Ovis aries: one gene and its partner. The protein of the gene in region 2 binds, or shares a complex with, the protein of the main gene of each other region. Links are inferred from orthologs where the notes say so. Each region holds a gene or a part of one and is shown on either strand. Other genes may lie near its edges. The genes, in order: GABARAPL2 and IRGQ.

Region 1 (7,497 bases), about 49 Mb from region 2:
CTTTAGGAGGAGACTGCCAATCTTGTCTGTGCAGGAATCAGGTGATCAGCCCAAGGATGTCACATGCCTCTTTTGTTTATAAGCAAACTTGTTTTGAAGACTAAAACCCCCAAACAAAGAACTGCTGCCTTAAATGTGGGCCAGGAAGTCATTAACTGGAGCCAAAGGCGCTGAAGGATCTGGGTGGAGGGGCTGGTTAGTGTGCCTTGGGTCACCACTGTAACCTGTTTTAAGGAGGATTCTTACCAGGTTGGAAAAGCAAATAAAACTTAAGAGAGAAAGCAGCCTCTGCTACCCTGAGAATCACTTTTCATTTCCAATTCTACTGGAGGAGAGGCATTAGTTAAAATCTGCAGCCATTGTAATTGCTACATTAACATAATCTTAATGTCTCCAGAAGCCTGCTTCATTTCTTCAAAAAGTATCAGAAGATCAGGATCAAGGAAAACAAAACTCAAGGCTACAGGTCCTACTCACAAACTTTTTCCCACCCAGAAGCCAACTCTGGGAAGGAGAACACACAGGGCCGCCAAGGGGCTGCACAAGCTGCAGGTGGCATGAAGACTGATTTACCTCCACCTCCCCACCACCTGCAAGGAAACGGAACATGACCGCAGATGCCCAGGGCTTCCCTAGCCTCCCCTGGAGAAGAATGCACCCAGCACCACAGTGCCCAGAGGCCTGGAAGGAAGGCCGAGAGCCCAGCGGGGTGACAAGATGACCCCTGGCAACACCACAGCTTCCTAAGCTCGAGCTGTAAGCAGGCCATGGCGCCCTTTAGGCAGAGCCTGGCCTTTCTCCTCAGGCAGAGCCTTGGCCTAATGGAAGGCAGACCTTCCATTCGCCCCTGCTGCTACTGCTGCTGCTAAGTCGCTTCAGTCATGTCCGACTCTATACGACCCCATAGATGGCAGCCCACCAGGCTCCCCCGTCCCTGGGATTCTCCAGGCAAGAACACTGGAGTGGGTTGCCATTTCCTTCTCCAATGCGTGAAAGTGAAATCCCTCAGTCGTGTTCGACCCTCAGCGACCTCACAGACTGCAGCCCACCAGGCTCCTCCGTCCATGGGATTTTCCACGCAATCCTCTGCCAAACATCAGGAAGCAGAAGTGTCAGAGAATGGGAAAGAGAAAACCTTAAAAATAGCCAAAGTTATTCCATTCGTAGGAAATGGGACTAGAATTTGGCTTAGGCCTTTCTTGGAGTTTTCAAGGATTTTCAAAAGAAGCATATTTTGGCTACACTGGGCTAGTTCCCAGGGCTTCTTAAAGCCTTAGCATCAGAAGTACTACTTTTGGGGGGATAACAAAATGAAACTCAGGAGGAAGGGAGCCAGCATCTGGCTCTGTTACTCAAATCAGTAACAGAAAAGAACTGACCAGGGGTACAGATTGAGCCAGAAAATTCTCCTCTCTCCACAGGAGACTAAAGCTAGGCTGTCGCCTACCTTGAAGAGAACTGTAATGCCCCTGCCTCAATTCAGGCCCCAAATATCCCAAAGACTGCTTCCAGGCAGCACAACCGCAAGAACAAGAGGGCAGCTACTGACAGAGCAAAGGGAGGTGTAAGTCTGTAAAGAGCCGTCTCCGGGTACCTGAGGCTCAGGCAGCGGACTCTCACAGTGGCCAGGACTGAGCCTGGAGAGCGAGCGAGCAGGCAGGGTGCTTAACTGAAGCTGAGCTTCAGCAGGGCCCACAGGCTCCTGGGGAAGAACGACAGGACTTATTTCATGGATCATTTGGAAAAAAACCTCATTTCAGGCTTCAGTTCTACTGATGGCTTAAGCCTAAGTAAGTCCCGAACTATTAAAAAGGATTCTTGGGTATCTGAGGCTGATTTCATCTTTTTTTTAAAAAAAGTCCAGGCCTTGCTCTGTTTTCTTAACCCAAAGTACACACACATCTATTGCAGCCCTTTCTTGTTTTCCTTGAGCTCCTGATGTCAGGGAGCACAAAATTCAGATTTCTAATCAGGATCTCTAAAAGTTTTCAGACTTCCAAAGTTTTGAGTCCTGTAAGCAACCAAGCAGATGTCCAATACCAGTAAACACCCCTCACCTGGACTGTGGGACTGTCTTATCCACAAACAGGAAGATTGCCTTTTCAGAAGGAAGCTGGATCCTTTTCCTGATGATCCACATGAACTGAGCCACAGTGATGTCGGATGGAACCAGATACTTCCGTTTGTCAATGTCAACAATCTGAGAGCCTGAGACCTTTTCCACAATCACCTGCAAAAGCAAAGTGCGGTCATGACTGGACTGCGGACGCGGTGCCCTGGCTGCGCACTGCTGGAGTGCTGATCCACAGTGTGTGGGCAAGGAGGTGGGTGGGAAACGGCATAACATGAGCAAACATGCCCCTGGCGTAATACGCCACACACTCTGGAGATTAAGAATTGATATACATGTGTTACAGGCAACAGCAAGTGCTTTTCTGTGGTCAATTATTAATACAGTTCTCACCCCTGATCTCAGCATGCATAAGAGAAACACAGCTCTCACTACAAAGTTTTTCAATACTTTGGGCAGACTCAAGAATATCTGGTGAAGGGTTCCTCTACAGCCTCTTACTCCAGGGCCCCAGAATGTATCTGCCTTCACACTACAGGGGAATTAAGATCCCAAGGAACACAGGAAATGAGAAGGGACAGATCAATGGGGATGACTGGCAACTCCAGGCAGCCAAGGACCAAGCTCTTCACTTGGCCTGTTGCTTCTCTCTGAACTAAGTTTCAAATCTATCCCTCCTGCCTCTCCCCAAAGGAACTGTTCATAAGCAATAAACTACAATAACAGGCCTGGATGTCCTCAAAAATAAATAAGGGTTACAGAAATTATTTCCCCCATCAAGGGATAAATACAGGATAAGCATTATTGATCAGCAGCGGCTCAGACTTTTTTTTTTTTGGTCAGCAAAGGATGACAGGGTCAGGGTGAGAAAAGGGAACCAGAAGTCAGGTAAAGAGGAAGGCGCAAAGTTAAAGATGAATGTCCTGAGACTTAAGTACCACTTTCAAGATCAAAGTGAACGTCTCCCTCCACCACCATTCCCTAAAGTGGTTGTGACCTGTCGCCCTGTCCTAGAACATCATTTCTTACATAATTGGCTAGGGAGCCCAGAGGCTGCAGACAGCTCGCTGGCCTAGATCGCGAGGTTCAGCACCGAAGCAACCTGAACAGCATCCACTACAGCCCGTCAAGTCGCGCCCCTCGACGGCCCCTTACCCAGTGCGGCCCATCTGCCACCACAACCGTGACTGTAGTCTAAACTTGTCAACTGTTGAGCAGCCTGGGCCCCACCACCGGCCCTAGACGGCAGGGGTGACAGGGAGGCGAGGGGGCGGGGAATGCACTCACCGGAACCCGGTCGGGGTATTTCGCTCGGATCTTCGCAGATTCCACGCATCTGTGTTCTGAGGAAGAAACACACGGGGCTGACGGCCGCGCCTGCCCGCCGGCCGGCTCCCAGAACCCCGGCCCTCCTCCCTCTGGGACCTGCGCACGCCCCCGGTCTTCTTGAGCGTCCGGGCGGGCCCGGTCCTCGGGGCCCCGGCTCCAGCAGGGCCCGCAGCGGGCGGCCCGGGGCGTGTGGGCAACCGCCCTGGGGGCCAGGACCTCGGCCGCCCGAGCCCCAAGGGAAGCACCCGCCCCGCCCGGCCCAGCCTGGGGCGGCCCGAGTGGGGGAGGGGGCCCCCGCCGCCCCCGCCCCCACGGCCGGGCCAGCGGCCGAGCGCTCACCCAGCGAGTGGTCCTCCTTGAACATCCACTTCATGGCGGCGGCGAAGAAGGGACGCAGCCGGCTCTCGGAGCCGCGGAGCTCAGCGAACCAACCACAACAACAACGACGGCGGCAGCGGCGGTGACTACACGGCAGGCGGGACTTCCGGCTGCCGGAGCCTAGCAACCGGGAGGGGCGGGGCTTCCGGCGCGGCTCGCGGGACACCGCGTCAAGGGGCGGGGCCTCACGTCAAGGGGCGGGGCAGGAGAGGGGCGTAGAGGGGCTCTCGGCGGAGCGGGGAATAGAGTGGGCGACTGGGAGGTCTGTGAGGGATACTGATGACTGCGGAGCGGGTATTCGAGAGCTGGTAGCAGGCGTGGGGTCTCGGTGGACGTTAGTAAAGGGAAGAGGTGAGCAGGTCCGGCCGACAGGATAGAGTCCTTACAGGAGTCTGTTCAATAGACAAGTCTGACTGGGGCGTTGGTGACAAGAGGGCAATTTTGTAGGTTTCAGTGACAGAAGAGGTTGCTCTGGTGGCCTGTGACGGCAAGGGGTCTAGTTAGGGCTTTGACACTTTGGGGAGGTTTCTTTGGAGTGACTGCAGGTTCAGGGCTCAGTCTGAGGGATGTGACTGGTTTGAGGGGACTGTGTGGAGAGGGGTACTGATGACAACGCGGGAGTTCAGTACTGAGGACAATCATAATTGTTGCGTTGGACCTAGGAATTGGGATTTGAAACAAATCCCAGCTCCTTCCCTTATTCACGAATAAATGAATAAACGTTTAAGAAAAGTTATATTAACTATGCATTTGGGGAGTGTAACACCACACTGATCACAAAGAGACCATTTAACCTTAATTGCCAGAGGAGTTAGAGGTGACTGACTGTCAGACCCAGAGAATTCCCCTGATACCCAGTCATGAAGTGGGTTTCTTTGGCATTCAGCATCACAACCTAAGGGGTGTGTGTGTGTGTGTGTGTGTGTGTCCTGCCTTCAGGTTCTCCAGTGACTATTCCTTTCTTCCTCCAAGACTCACCAGGGCAGTGTGCTCTGGTTCATCCCTCTGTTTATGAGCTGGTGAATATGTAAGAAGATATTCACTTAATTGGGCATGTGATCCTTGCCACGTGCTTGCGATTCTGATGCATCTGAAAGGCTTGTATGTTTGAATATTGTCATTTATCATTTCCTAAGTTGAAATTCCTGATGGATGCTGTGGAATATAGCTTCATTCTAGAAGTATTTCTTGTTATTTTAACATTAACCTTAATTGCCAGAGGAGTTAGAGGTGACTGATTGTCGGACTGTTTTTTATGAAAAATCCTTTGAATTTCATGCCTGGAAATTTTTGTTGTTGCATGAAAGAGCACTGTTCTAAGTGTTGGTGAAAAGCAGCAAACAGAACAGACAATACTTCCACTCTTACGGAGTTTGCATTCTAGTGGGACAAAATGAAAAAAAATATGTTGGGTAATGATAGGTGCTGTTTAGAAAAATAAAGCATACTTGGTAACTAGTGAGTCACCATGATGGTGGGAGTGAATGCTAATTAGATAAAGTGGTTGACATATTTCTGGGAATACGAAGGAGTCCCATGTGACTGGAGCTGAATATATAAGAAGGTGTGCATTAGGAAGTGAGACCAAAGAGATCTAGAAAAGTGGGTTGAGCTTTGAATTCCATTTGAAGAACTTTAGATTTTATTTAGAATGGAATGAGAAGGCAGTGGAGGGTTATAAGCAAAAGTGTGACATGATATGACTTTCCTAGCTTCTGTGTAGACAGTAGATTATAGGGGGTTGAGGATGGAAGTAAGGGAACAGTTAAGAGGCTATTGTGATAATCCAGGTATAAGATGATGTTGGTTTAACCCAAGATAGTATCTGTGGAGGTGATGGGAAGCAGCTGTGTTCTAGATACATTTTGAAGGTAGATCCAACAAAATTTGCTGATCAATCGAATATGATTCGTGAGGAACAAGTCTAAGTCAGGGTTTTGGAATAATTGAGTGGTCATTTACTGGAACAGGGTGGAGCCAGAGGGGTGGGGTATGCAAATCAAGAGTTTGGTTTTGAATATAGCCTGGTGGCTCAGAGGTTAAAGCGTCTGCCTCCAATGCAGGAGAACCGGGTTCGATCCCTGGGTTGGGAAGATCCTCTGGAGAAGGAAATGGCAAACCACTCCAATATTCTTGCCTGGAGAAGCCCATGGACTGAGGAGCCTGGTGGGCTGCAGTCCTCCTGCAGTCTGCAAGGAGATCCAACCCGTCCATCCTAAAGCAGATCAGTCCTGGGTGTTCATTGGAAGGACTGGTGTTGAAGCTGAAACTCCAATAGTCTGGCCACCTGATGTGAAGAGCTGACTCATTTGAAAAGACCCTGATGCTGGGAAAGATAGAAGGCAGGAGAAGGGTATGACAGAAGATGAGATAGTTGGATGGCATCACTGACTCAACGGACAAGAGTTTGGGTAAACTCCGGGAGTTGGTGATAGACAGGGAGGCCTGGTGTACTGCACTCCATGGGGTCACAAAGAGTCGGACATGACTGAGTGACTGAACTAAACTGACAGAAGAGAGTGAGTATAAAAATGAAAATAACCTATTTTGCAAATAGAATTAAACACTAAGGAATGAAGATGGTTGTCAACCCTCTGATAGTGAATCAGTGAAGAAGTTAAAAATTGGGCCAAAGACCCCTGCTTCCCTTTACAGAGCTGGTCATTGTGTCCTAGTTCAAAGTATGTGTACACCATCTTACACCTGGAAGAACTTAGTATGCTTCTTAGTGGAGAGATTCGAAGCAACTTACAAGCATGTTTGTCACCTGATGGTCTCGAGGTGCAATGTCTGTCTTCTATCATAACCTACCTTTTTTTTTTTTATTTTTTTTGCCACATCGCACGGCAAGCAGGAATCTTAGTTTTTAGTCCCCCACCCCACCCCCAGGGATCCAACCCATGCCCAGTTCACTAGAAGCGCAGAGTCCTAACCCCTGAACCACCAGGGACTTCCCTTTACCTACCTTCCTGATGTCTTTTTCCAGTTCACCATTCTAATTGGTTTCTCTGGCTGATGACATTGTCATCTCGGACTGTGATAAGGGCATTGTATAGTTTTCCCATATGGGCACGTCTTGACCTCTCTTCTTTGCTAGGATCTCAGCTGTTCTCTTCATCGAAAACCCAATTCTAGGTTATAATAACTAAACTTATCATGGTAATCATTTTGAAATGTATAGAAATACTGAATCACTATATTGTATAACAGGAACTAACCTAATGTTGTGGTCAATTATACTTCAAAAACGAACTCATTAAAAAGAGATCAGGTTTGTGATTACCCGAGGCAAGGTGGAGGGAGGGGAAAGTTGGATGAAGTCAGTCAGAAGATACAAACTTCCAGTTATAAGATAAATGAGTACTAGGGAGGTAATGTACAACATGATAAATATAATTAACACTACTTTATTTTGTAGATGAAAGAGTAAATGCTAAGAGTTGTCATCACAGGGGAAAATTTTTTTCTATTTCCTTAATTTGTAATCTATATGAGATGAGAGATGTTCAACAAATTTATTGTGGTAATCATTTCATGATGCATGTAACTCAAATCATTATGTTGTACACCTTAAACTTATACAGTGCTATATGTCAATTATACCTCAATAAATCTAGGAGAAAACCCCACTTCTAGGTTGCCTTCAAAATAGGAGTATTTATGAGTGGATCTCATTCTGAGCACAAACTTCACACTAACTCGGCACTGCAATGTGATCC
Region 2 (7,507 bases):
ACTGCCTCGGCGTCCGCGCGCATCTCGTCCAGCGCCTGCAGCAGGACGCCGTGCGCCGCTCGGTAGCCCAGGCCCCCAGTGGCCGCAGCTCCGCCCGCCGGCCACAGGAAGGAGAGCGCGCCCAGCGCCGCGCCCCCGGCGGTGCCCTCGCCCGCCCACGAGCCCAGCCTCGCTTCCACTTCGGCTCGCGTCACCGGGCCCGGGAAGCGCGTCCGCTTGGCCAGCTCCCCGGGCGCCAGGCCCAGCGCGCGCTCGCGTCGGGCCAGTGCCGCGGGTTCGAGCCCCAGCGCCCGTCGCCACTCCGCTAGCTGACCCCGCAGGAGCGCCACGTCGCACGCCCAGCCCAGCCCTGGGACTGGGGCCGCCGCTGCCGCCAGGCTAGCCAGCAGGGCCGGCCTCCACGCCCCGGCCCGCAGCGCAGCAGCCTTGGTCCGGGCCGCGCGGGGAGACGCGGGCGGCAGCGCGAGCAGCAGCGCCCCCGCCTGGGCCGCGGGGAGCGCGCGCCGCAGCCACTCGCATAGCCCCGGGAGCCCGCCCGGTCGCAGCGGGAACACGGGCGGCGGCGCCTCCTCTAGCACCTCCCACGTTTCGTCCTCGGGGCTCAGGGCAGCTGCGCGCTCTGAGTCCCCGCTGCCGGATTTCTTCGCGCTGACGCCCACTGGCTGCAAACTCTCCGTGCCTGCTTCCTCTGAACCTTCCCCACTGCCTCCCTTTTGCAATCTGGGGCCGCGGTTCTCCTTTCCATCACTGTGGGCAGTCTCAAACCCCTCTCCGTCTGGGTTCTCTAAGCTCTCGCTGCCAGACTTCTCTGCCTTTTCCTCTTCTTCCAGAGACTCTGGGTCCTCGCCCTCGCCGTCTGTTCGCACGCAGACCAGTGGTGTATCCGGGAGCACCAAGGGCCGGACCTGGGCCCAGTCCTTCTCAGTGGGGGCCCCAGGGGTGACGAGGATGAGAGCGTCGTAGTGGGTGGTCGGGTACGGGGAGACGGTGGTGTCCGCGGAGCTCAGAGGCACGCTCCAGAGCACCACGTTGGGGCGCTCTGGGGCCGGGTAGGGCGTGGGCCCTGCAGGCGCTGCAGCAGGCACTGCACCCGGATCTTCAGGATCTAACCCGAGGAGCACGTCCAACACAAGGCCCACGTCAGCCCTACCGGCCACGGCCAGGTCCAGGCGTGCGCTGCCCAGTCGCTCCAGGCCAGCCCGAACCCACGACAGGGCCGCCTCCAGGCCCCCAGTCTCAAAGGCCTCCCGCACAGCCTCCAACTCCGCAGCGCCCAACACCTCGAAGCCATCCTGAGCTGGTGGAAGGAGCCTGCGGGGATAGGGAGGGATAGGGTCAAGGGCAGAAGAGGGGCTGGAGGCTGGAGAGCTAGCCTAGGGGGTCGGACCAGGCTAAAATGACAAGGTGGAGTTTGAAGCAAGAAAGGGAGGGGCCAGATTAACGGCACCGAGGCTAAGAAGGAAAGTAAAGTGGCTCAGTCGTGTCTGACTCTTTGCGACCCCATGGACTGTAGCCTACCAGGCTCCTTCGTCCATGAAATTTTCCAGGCAAGAATACTGGAGTGGGTTGCCATTTCCTTCTCCAGGGGATTTTCCGACTCCAGGACCGAACCCAGGTCTCCATCATTGCCTAAAGCAAGGGAGGGACTGCTCGATTGAAATCTGGCTTCCAACACAGCTGAAAATGGGGAACTGGCTAAGTCTCCCCAGGGGTTACACTCTTTGGGAGCTGGGCTTTCCAAAGGACCTGCAGGATTAAGAAAAGGCCATGCTGGGTGGGGCAAAACTCACAGTGAGCCTTAGGGCAAAAGAATCCGGAATGAATTGAGGGACTAAATGAAAACCTTGCACTAAATGCTCTAGGTGGGCAAGGTCAACACAGGCGCTCTTCCTTGAGCAGAGGCGTTAGTAGGAGTGTAAAGTCCAAAGAGGGGAGAAGCCTCATTTAATAGTTCTTAGCAAGGGCGTGGGGCTAAGGAAAAAAGAATGGTGGTGGGCTTGGAGCTGCTGCCCCTCCCTGAGGCTCTTTCAACCTCTACCAAAGGAGGCAAGGCTGCTTGGGGGTGGGTGGGGGGAGATAGGAGATAGCCAGCAGGTGGGTACAGAAAGAAGAGGGAGGGGATTAGAGAAACGAAATGGGGGAGGGCCCCCTAAACAACAAAGCTCACTGAGGGTGGGCTCTCTGGAGACTGCGATCCCTCGAGAACCAAGCAGATGGTGAGGAGGAAAGACTGGAGAGTGGAGTCTTCGGGTACAGATTTCATGAGGATCACCAGTTTGGATGCAGAGAGCAAGCCCTCCTTCACACCTTGGCTTGGGGGCAGTGTTTGGGCTTTAGGTCCGGGCCCCTCCTAGAATTCTGGCAGGGTAGCGGGACTTTTGACCTCAGAGTGCTAGCAGGAGCAGGCTGGATGACAGGCTGGGACTTCCAGCTGACCGACCCTTGGATGGGGCCTAGATGACAAAAGCACAGAGTGCTAGCTTGAGGTGGGGCCTCGCGGACCTCACGACCTGCACTCAAGGGCAGGATCTGGAGCAGGGCTTTCAGCAGATATCTCTTTAAGGTTGGTCACAAACTTGCTGCGGGATGACTTCAAAGAGCACCTTAGGGTGGAGGTATAGAGTAAATAAAGCTCCAGGCCTCTTCCACCCACCCAGAAGCTCCGCGCTTACCTCTGCAGTGCCTCGGCCTGGCTCCGCAGCGCCGCTCGCAGGCGCTCCAGCTCCTCGCAGCCGTCGGTGCTGAGGCAGTCGGTCCGTGGAACGAAGAGAGCCGCGGCGCCCAACCCGGCGCTGTCCAGCAGGGCCGCGGTCTGATCCCGGGCCTGGGCTTCATTCTGTGACTCCTCGGGTCGGAGATTCCGCACAGCCAGCAGCGGGGTCCCTCGGGCCAGGGCGGCCCGTGCTGCCTCCCCCAGGGCCGGGGCCAAGGGCTCCTCATTGCTCTCGGGGCTTGGCAGCACCAGTACCAGCACGTTGGCCTCCGCCGCCCAGGGTCCCGGCTCTGCGGGTGGGCAGCTCAGCTCGCCCAGGAAAAGGCCTGGGCCTGCAGCTCGCAGGCTGGGGAGCCCGGAATCCGGCCGTCCGTCGGGGATCTCGACCGTCTCCACATCTCTGTCGCACAGCGCTGCGATCAGCGCAGATTTTCCGGAGCCCGGAGGCCCCAGGAATAAGACGGTCACGTCACCTCGCGGCGGAGGCATAGCTGGGAAGCAAGGAGAGAGGAAGACCTGGGTCACGGAGCACCCAACCTTATTTTCTAGCCTCCCTACTCCGGTCTCACATTTCAGCCAACTATTCTGTCCCTTTCTTTCGTTCTCGGGTACCACTCCCAGGCAGCCAGAAATCTGGCGCCCAGCCTCTATTCCCCAGGGACCCGGGAGTCCCGTCCGCCCTCCTTCTGGATGGCTTTCCTTTTCCGCTTCAAAAACTCAGAAATTGGCCTCCAGCTCCCAACACCCTCTGGGATACAGATGTTTTTAACCCCTCACTCCTCCCTTCCAAATCACCAACCGAGCAAACAACCAGCACAAGGGACGGCGCAGTTGGTAGCAGGTGGTCTGCCCCTAAGAAGCCCCCGCTCTGGGGTCGGGGGACGGAGGCCTAAGAGGTTAGAGCGCCGGGATTCGGGGACGTCCAGACGCTTTCCAGGGGTTCTAACCTGACGTCATTCCCTTTAGGAGGAGGTGTGTCTTGAAAGCGTAACCTCGGGAAGACAGCGCTGTGCGGCGCTTGCGCAGAACGACGGATGGGCGCTCGCCCGCTCTCAGCGGTCGCAGGTCCTAGAACAATGAGGGAGCCAAAGCGCGTGCGCGCCAGAAGCGCCTAACACGCTTGCGCAGTAAGCACCGGTCGGTCAGGCGAGAGTTGCGTACAACGTCATCATTACGCACCCCAGTGCAGGGAAGGACCCCTCGCGTTATATTGAGGACCGAATTGGTGGGACTGCATCATTGCAGTCGGATGGCAATCCAAGATCCGGGCTTCGAAAGGCTCATCAGGCGAAAGGCCGTGGAAAGCCTCGGGACTTTGAGACTCGGTGGGCCCTACCCCGTTTCCCTTCGGGTGACGGCGCTGTGACGAGCAACTGACAGGCGCAACGAAAGGCAGCCCCTCTGCTGTCTTGGAGAAAAGCAGAAACCTAGGCTACTGGCCTCGGGAGGGAGCCGAGGGCAGTGCTTGGGGGCAGCGGGTCACAACGGCTGAAAGCGCGCGTGGGAAGCGGGGTCTCAGAGTTTCGGGATGTCAGAGAAAGATGTCTCTCGGGAGGAGGCGGGCTAAAGCGTGGGTACCACTACCTGCCTCAAGACAGGTGGAAGAGAAGGGGATGAGGCTGGTGTCCAAAGATCAGGGGTCCCTAGCTCTGTGTTCAGGGAATTGGTTTGATGTAGCAGGCATAGGTCACTCAAGTGAGAAGGCGCTAAGAGAAGTCACAGAGCTGAGGAGCTGAATCTTTTGGAAGGTTGAATTCTCTACTGAGAGCTGTTAGGTTAGAATTCAAAGAGATGTTATCTCATGGAAGTCAAAGACGGGCAAAGTAAGCTTGTCAAAGATCACAGGATTAGGGGGCCCTCTAAATTTGGCTATAGATAAGCGACTTCACTTGATTTACTATTCTGCCATGCATGCTCCTCTCTTGACCAGAGGGGTCCCAGTCACCATGGAGGACCGGCACTCCAAGCAGACCATGGAGCAGCAGGATTCGTCCGAGGAGAGAAGTTCCCGAAGTCCGAGAGGTGACCTCTGTGAGTACTGCTGACCAGAGGAGGGTGGGTTGCAGGAGCTGTGATGCTAAAAGGACTTCTATAGCATCTCAGTGTTCAAAGCATTGTGGGGACTTACTCGTTAGGAAGGAGCTGTTAATGGTCCATGAGCTGCCCTCTCAGGACCCCGACCCTTGTTACCCTCAGAGGTAACAAGGAGCAGAGCTCCCTGCTCTGTCCACATAAATATGAAAGGGATGCACTTCAGAGGCAAAGAGTGGCATCCAGAGAGGCTTGGGGTGGGAGAAATGATTGGGAAGGGCAGTGAGCCCCAGTCCCAACCCTGCCCTGGACTTACAGTGCGCCTTGGACCTCAGTTTCCCTGTCAAAAGGGGTGGCCACTCCTCACCTCACAGGGCTGGCTGGTATGAGGATTAGCTGCAGAAAAGGAGAAAGCTTAATATTAATGAAGATAGCCAATTTGACATAGAACAGCAACAGCTTCTACTGAATGCTAATTACGTGTTAGATGCATTCTAAGATTTTAACACTTGTCTCAGTCTGTCCTCCTAACAGACTCTATGAAATTGATAATTATCACTGTCATATGAAGTGAGGGAACTGAGGCAAAGAGAGGTTATGTGTTTATAACAGTGAAAGCTAGTGTTAGTGCTTTCTAGCCGGAGACCACCAGGAACACACGTGGAGTTGAGCAAATCAGGCTTATTGCTCATTGTGCTGAGGAAGTACACACACTGTGGGGCATCTCATAAGAAAGGACTTCCCTACCACTGGGGAAGGGTTCAAGAAAGGGGTTTTGCTCTGGATAGAGGTTGCCAGGAAGCAAGGGCTCTTAGATGGCTGCTCACTTAATAAATCTGACCTAGGAGGAGGGAGGAACAAGGGAACGCTCCAGCTCTGACTGGCCAAGCAGCAGCAGGCACTCACGTAAGCCAGGACAGGGGGCTGTCTGGCCATTTCTCATGGCCCAGACAATGTTCACGTTTTGTCTGTGTTCAGAACAGCACCATGGTGTGGTCTTGATTTGCCCCAGTCACAGCACGGCCTTGTTTGACAGCGTTCTGTGGAATTGTTTATGCTCACCAGGAGAATGCCAAGGCCTAGCTGTGCCAGGCCAGCCCCTGGCTGTGGGGTTTCTTCTTTCTCAACAATAATTATTGCAAACCATTGTGTAGCACCGTTCTAAACACTATTTATAAGTTCATTCATTTATTCCTTCCAACAACCATATGAGGTGGATACTAATACAATGATTACCCCATTTTCCAGATGAAAACACTGTTTTCCCTTGCCAGGGGAAATCAGTTCCAGGCAGTCTGGCTCCAGAGGCTGTGCCCTAATCATACAGCTCTGTCAGAAGGGCAGACTGCCTGGGTTCCAGTTCTAACTCCACCATTTCACTTCCCAGCCTCATGACAGTCAGCAAGTTGCCTCAGCTTTTGCAGCCCTGGTCTGCTCATTCACAAAATAGGTCCAGTAAGTCTCCCGTCCAGGCCTGGCACAGCACCTGGCACAGAGCACGTCAAGTCCTGCATGCTGGTTGTCGGCATGATTCTGGGGCTGGGAGAGGCCCTCGCCACACCTGCTGGCCTCTCCCAACCTCTCCCCCATGTCCTCAGGCCACCTGGGGGCCCTGGAGTGCACCCGCTGCCTCATCACCTTCGCCGATTCCAAGTTCCAGGAGCGCCACATGAAGCGGGAGCACCCAGCGGACTTCGTGGCCCAGAAGCTGCAGGGGGTCCTCTTCATCTGCTTCACCTGCGCCCGATCCTTCCCCTCCTCCAAGGCCCTGATCACCCACCAGCGCGGCCACGGTCCAGTGGCCAGGGCCTCCCAGCCGGCTGCACCCATCACCACACCACCCACCTTCCCCTGTCCCGACTGTGGCAAGACCTTCGGGCAGGCTGCTTCTCTGAGGCGGCATCGCCAGGCACACGAGGCCCATCCCCTTCCTGGCCCCTTTGCCTGCACAGAGTGTGGTCAGGACTTTGCCCAGGAAGCAGGGCTGCACCAACACTACATCCGGCATGCGCGGGGGGAGCTCTGAGAGTAGCTTACGCCCACCCCAGGGCCGTGGGAGCTCTGTGGCTGGTGGGATGCATGTCTGATATGGGATGGGAGCCCTGGACTTTCCTCCCTGGAAAGGCAAAGGACTCCTGAGAAACAGGACCCAGAAGATACTCATTTGGAGCTTCAGTCGTTGGAGGACACAAAAGCCTTCAGGGAAACAGTCAAATCAGACAATAATGAGATCTATTGTTTTTTTAAAAAATTAACAGGAAAGAGGGAAAACTGTGATTTGTATCTCCCTCATTCCCAATTATATAGTTTGAAACTGCAACTAGCTGCAGATTGTGTAACCACCTTTAATTCATCCCAGATGGATGCTGTGGGGCTGTAGGAGCCGAGTGACTGGATTTGGGCCTGACTGCAGGCAGGGAAAGTGAGGCGTTGCCCACCTGCAAGGCCACCACAGCACAGTCCCACACAGGGAGCGACTTGGGCCTCTGGGGATGGGACAGCAAAGTCAGAGTCTGTACTGAGTCGTGTGGGGGTTGCAATCTGAGCTAGTGTCTCTTCCCACCCCCCGCCAGTCTTTCCCACTCAAGGAGGGGCCATGGCATTGGACAGCTCTGCCCCTCTTCTCCCTAGATGCTGCTGCTAAGTCACTTCAGTCGTATCCGATTCTGTGCGACCTCGTAGACGGCAGCCCACCAGGTACCCCAGTTCTTGGGATTCTCTAGGCAAGAACACTGGAGTGGGTCGCCATTTCCTTCTCCAGTG

What was found.
Region 1: the proteins of IRGQ (region 2) and GABARAPL2 are in contact, whole or in part, in a crystal structure (PDB 8Q6Q), measured with the Homo sapiens proteins. The link is inferred for Ovis aries from reciprocal best matches to the Homo sapiens genes IRGQ and GABARAPL2. Residues at the interface, in NP_001007562.1 of Homo sapiens: Asp7, Thr9, Leu11, Pro47, Leu49, Phe57, Pro70, Trp71, Glu74, Pro181, Ala182, Gln183, Asp184, Gly185, Phe186, Glu187, Val188, Leu189; in NP_009216.1 of Homo sapiens: Ser10, Glu12, His13, Cys15, Val16, Glu17, Ala19, Lys20, Ile21, Ala23, Lys24, Tyr25, Arg28, Pro30, Lys46, Lys48, Tyr49, Leu50, Val51, Pro52, Phe60, Ile63, Arg67, Phe104.

What each region holds. Positions count from the first base shown.
Region 1 is NC_056067.1:2,349,796-2,357,292, reverse strand, and holds the start of GABARAPL2 (gamma-aminobutyric acid receptor-associated protein-like 2), read right to left. Parts: upstream 3,871-7,497; 5' UTR 3,774-3,870; coding exon 3,740-3,773; intron 3,415-3,739; coding exon 3,359-3,414; intron 2,231-3,358; coding exon 2,058-2,230; intron 1-2,057. UniProt on the Homo sapiens protein: Ubiquitin-like modifier involved in intra-Golgi traffic. Modulates intra-Golgi transport through coupling between NSF activity and SNAREs activation. It first stimulates the ATPase activity of NSF which in turn stimulates the association with GOSR1.
Region 2 is NC_056067.1:51,629,826-51,637,332, forward strand, and holds the start of IRGQ (immunity-related GTPase family Q protein), read right to left. Parts: upstream 3,792-7,507; 5' UTR 3,671-3,791; coding exon 3,661-3,670; exon of another isoform or gene 3,513-3,660; intron 3,205-3,512; coding exon 2,673-3,204; intron 1,312-2,672; coding exon 1-1,311. Other genes in the region: ZNF576 (zinc finger protein 576), read left to right, coding at 4,255-4,283, 4,644-4,744, 6,343-6,770. UniProt on the Homo sapiens protein: Autophagy receptor that specifically promotes clearance of misfolded MHC class I molecules by targeting them to the lysosome for degradation.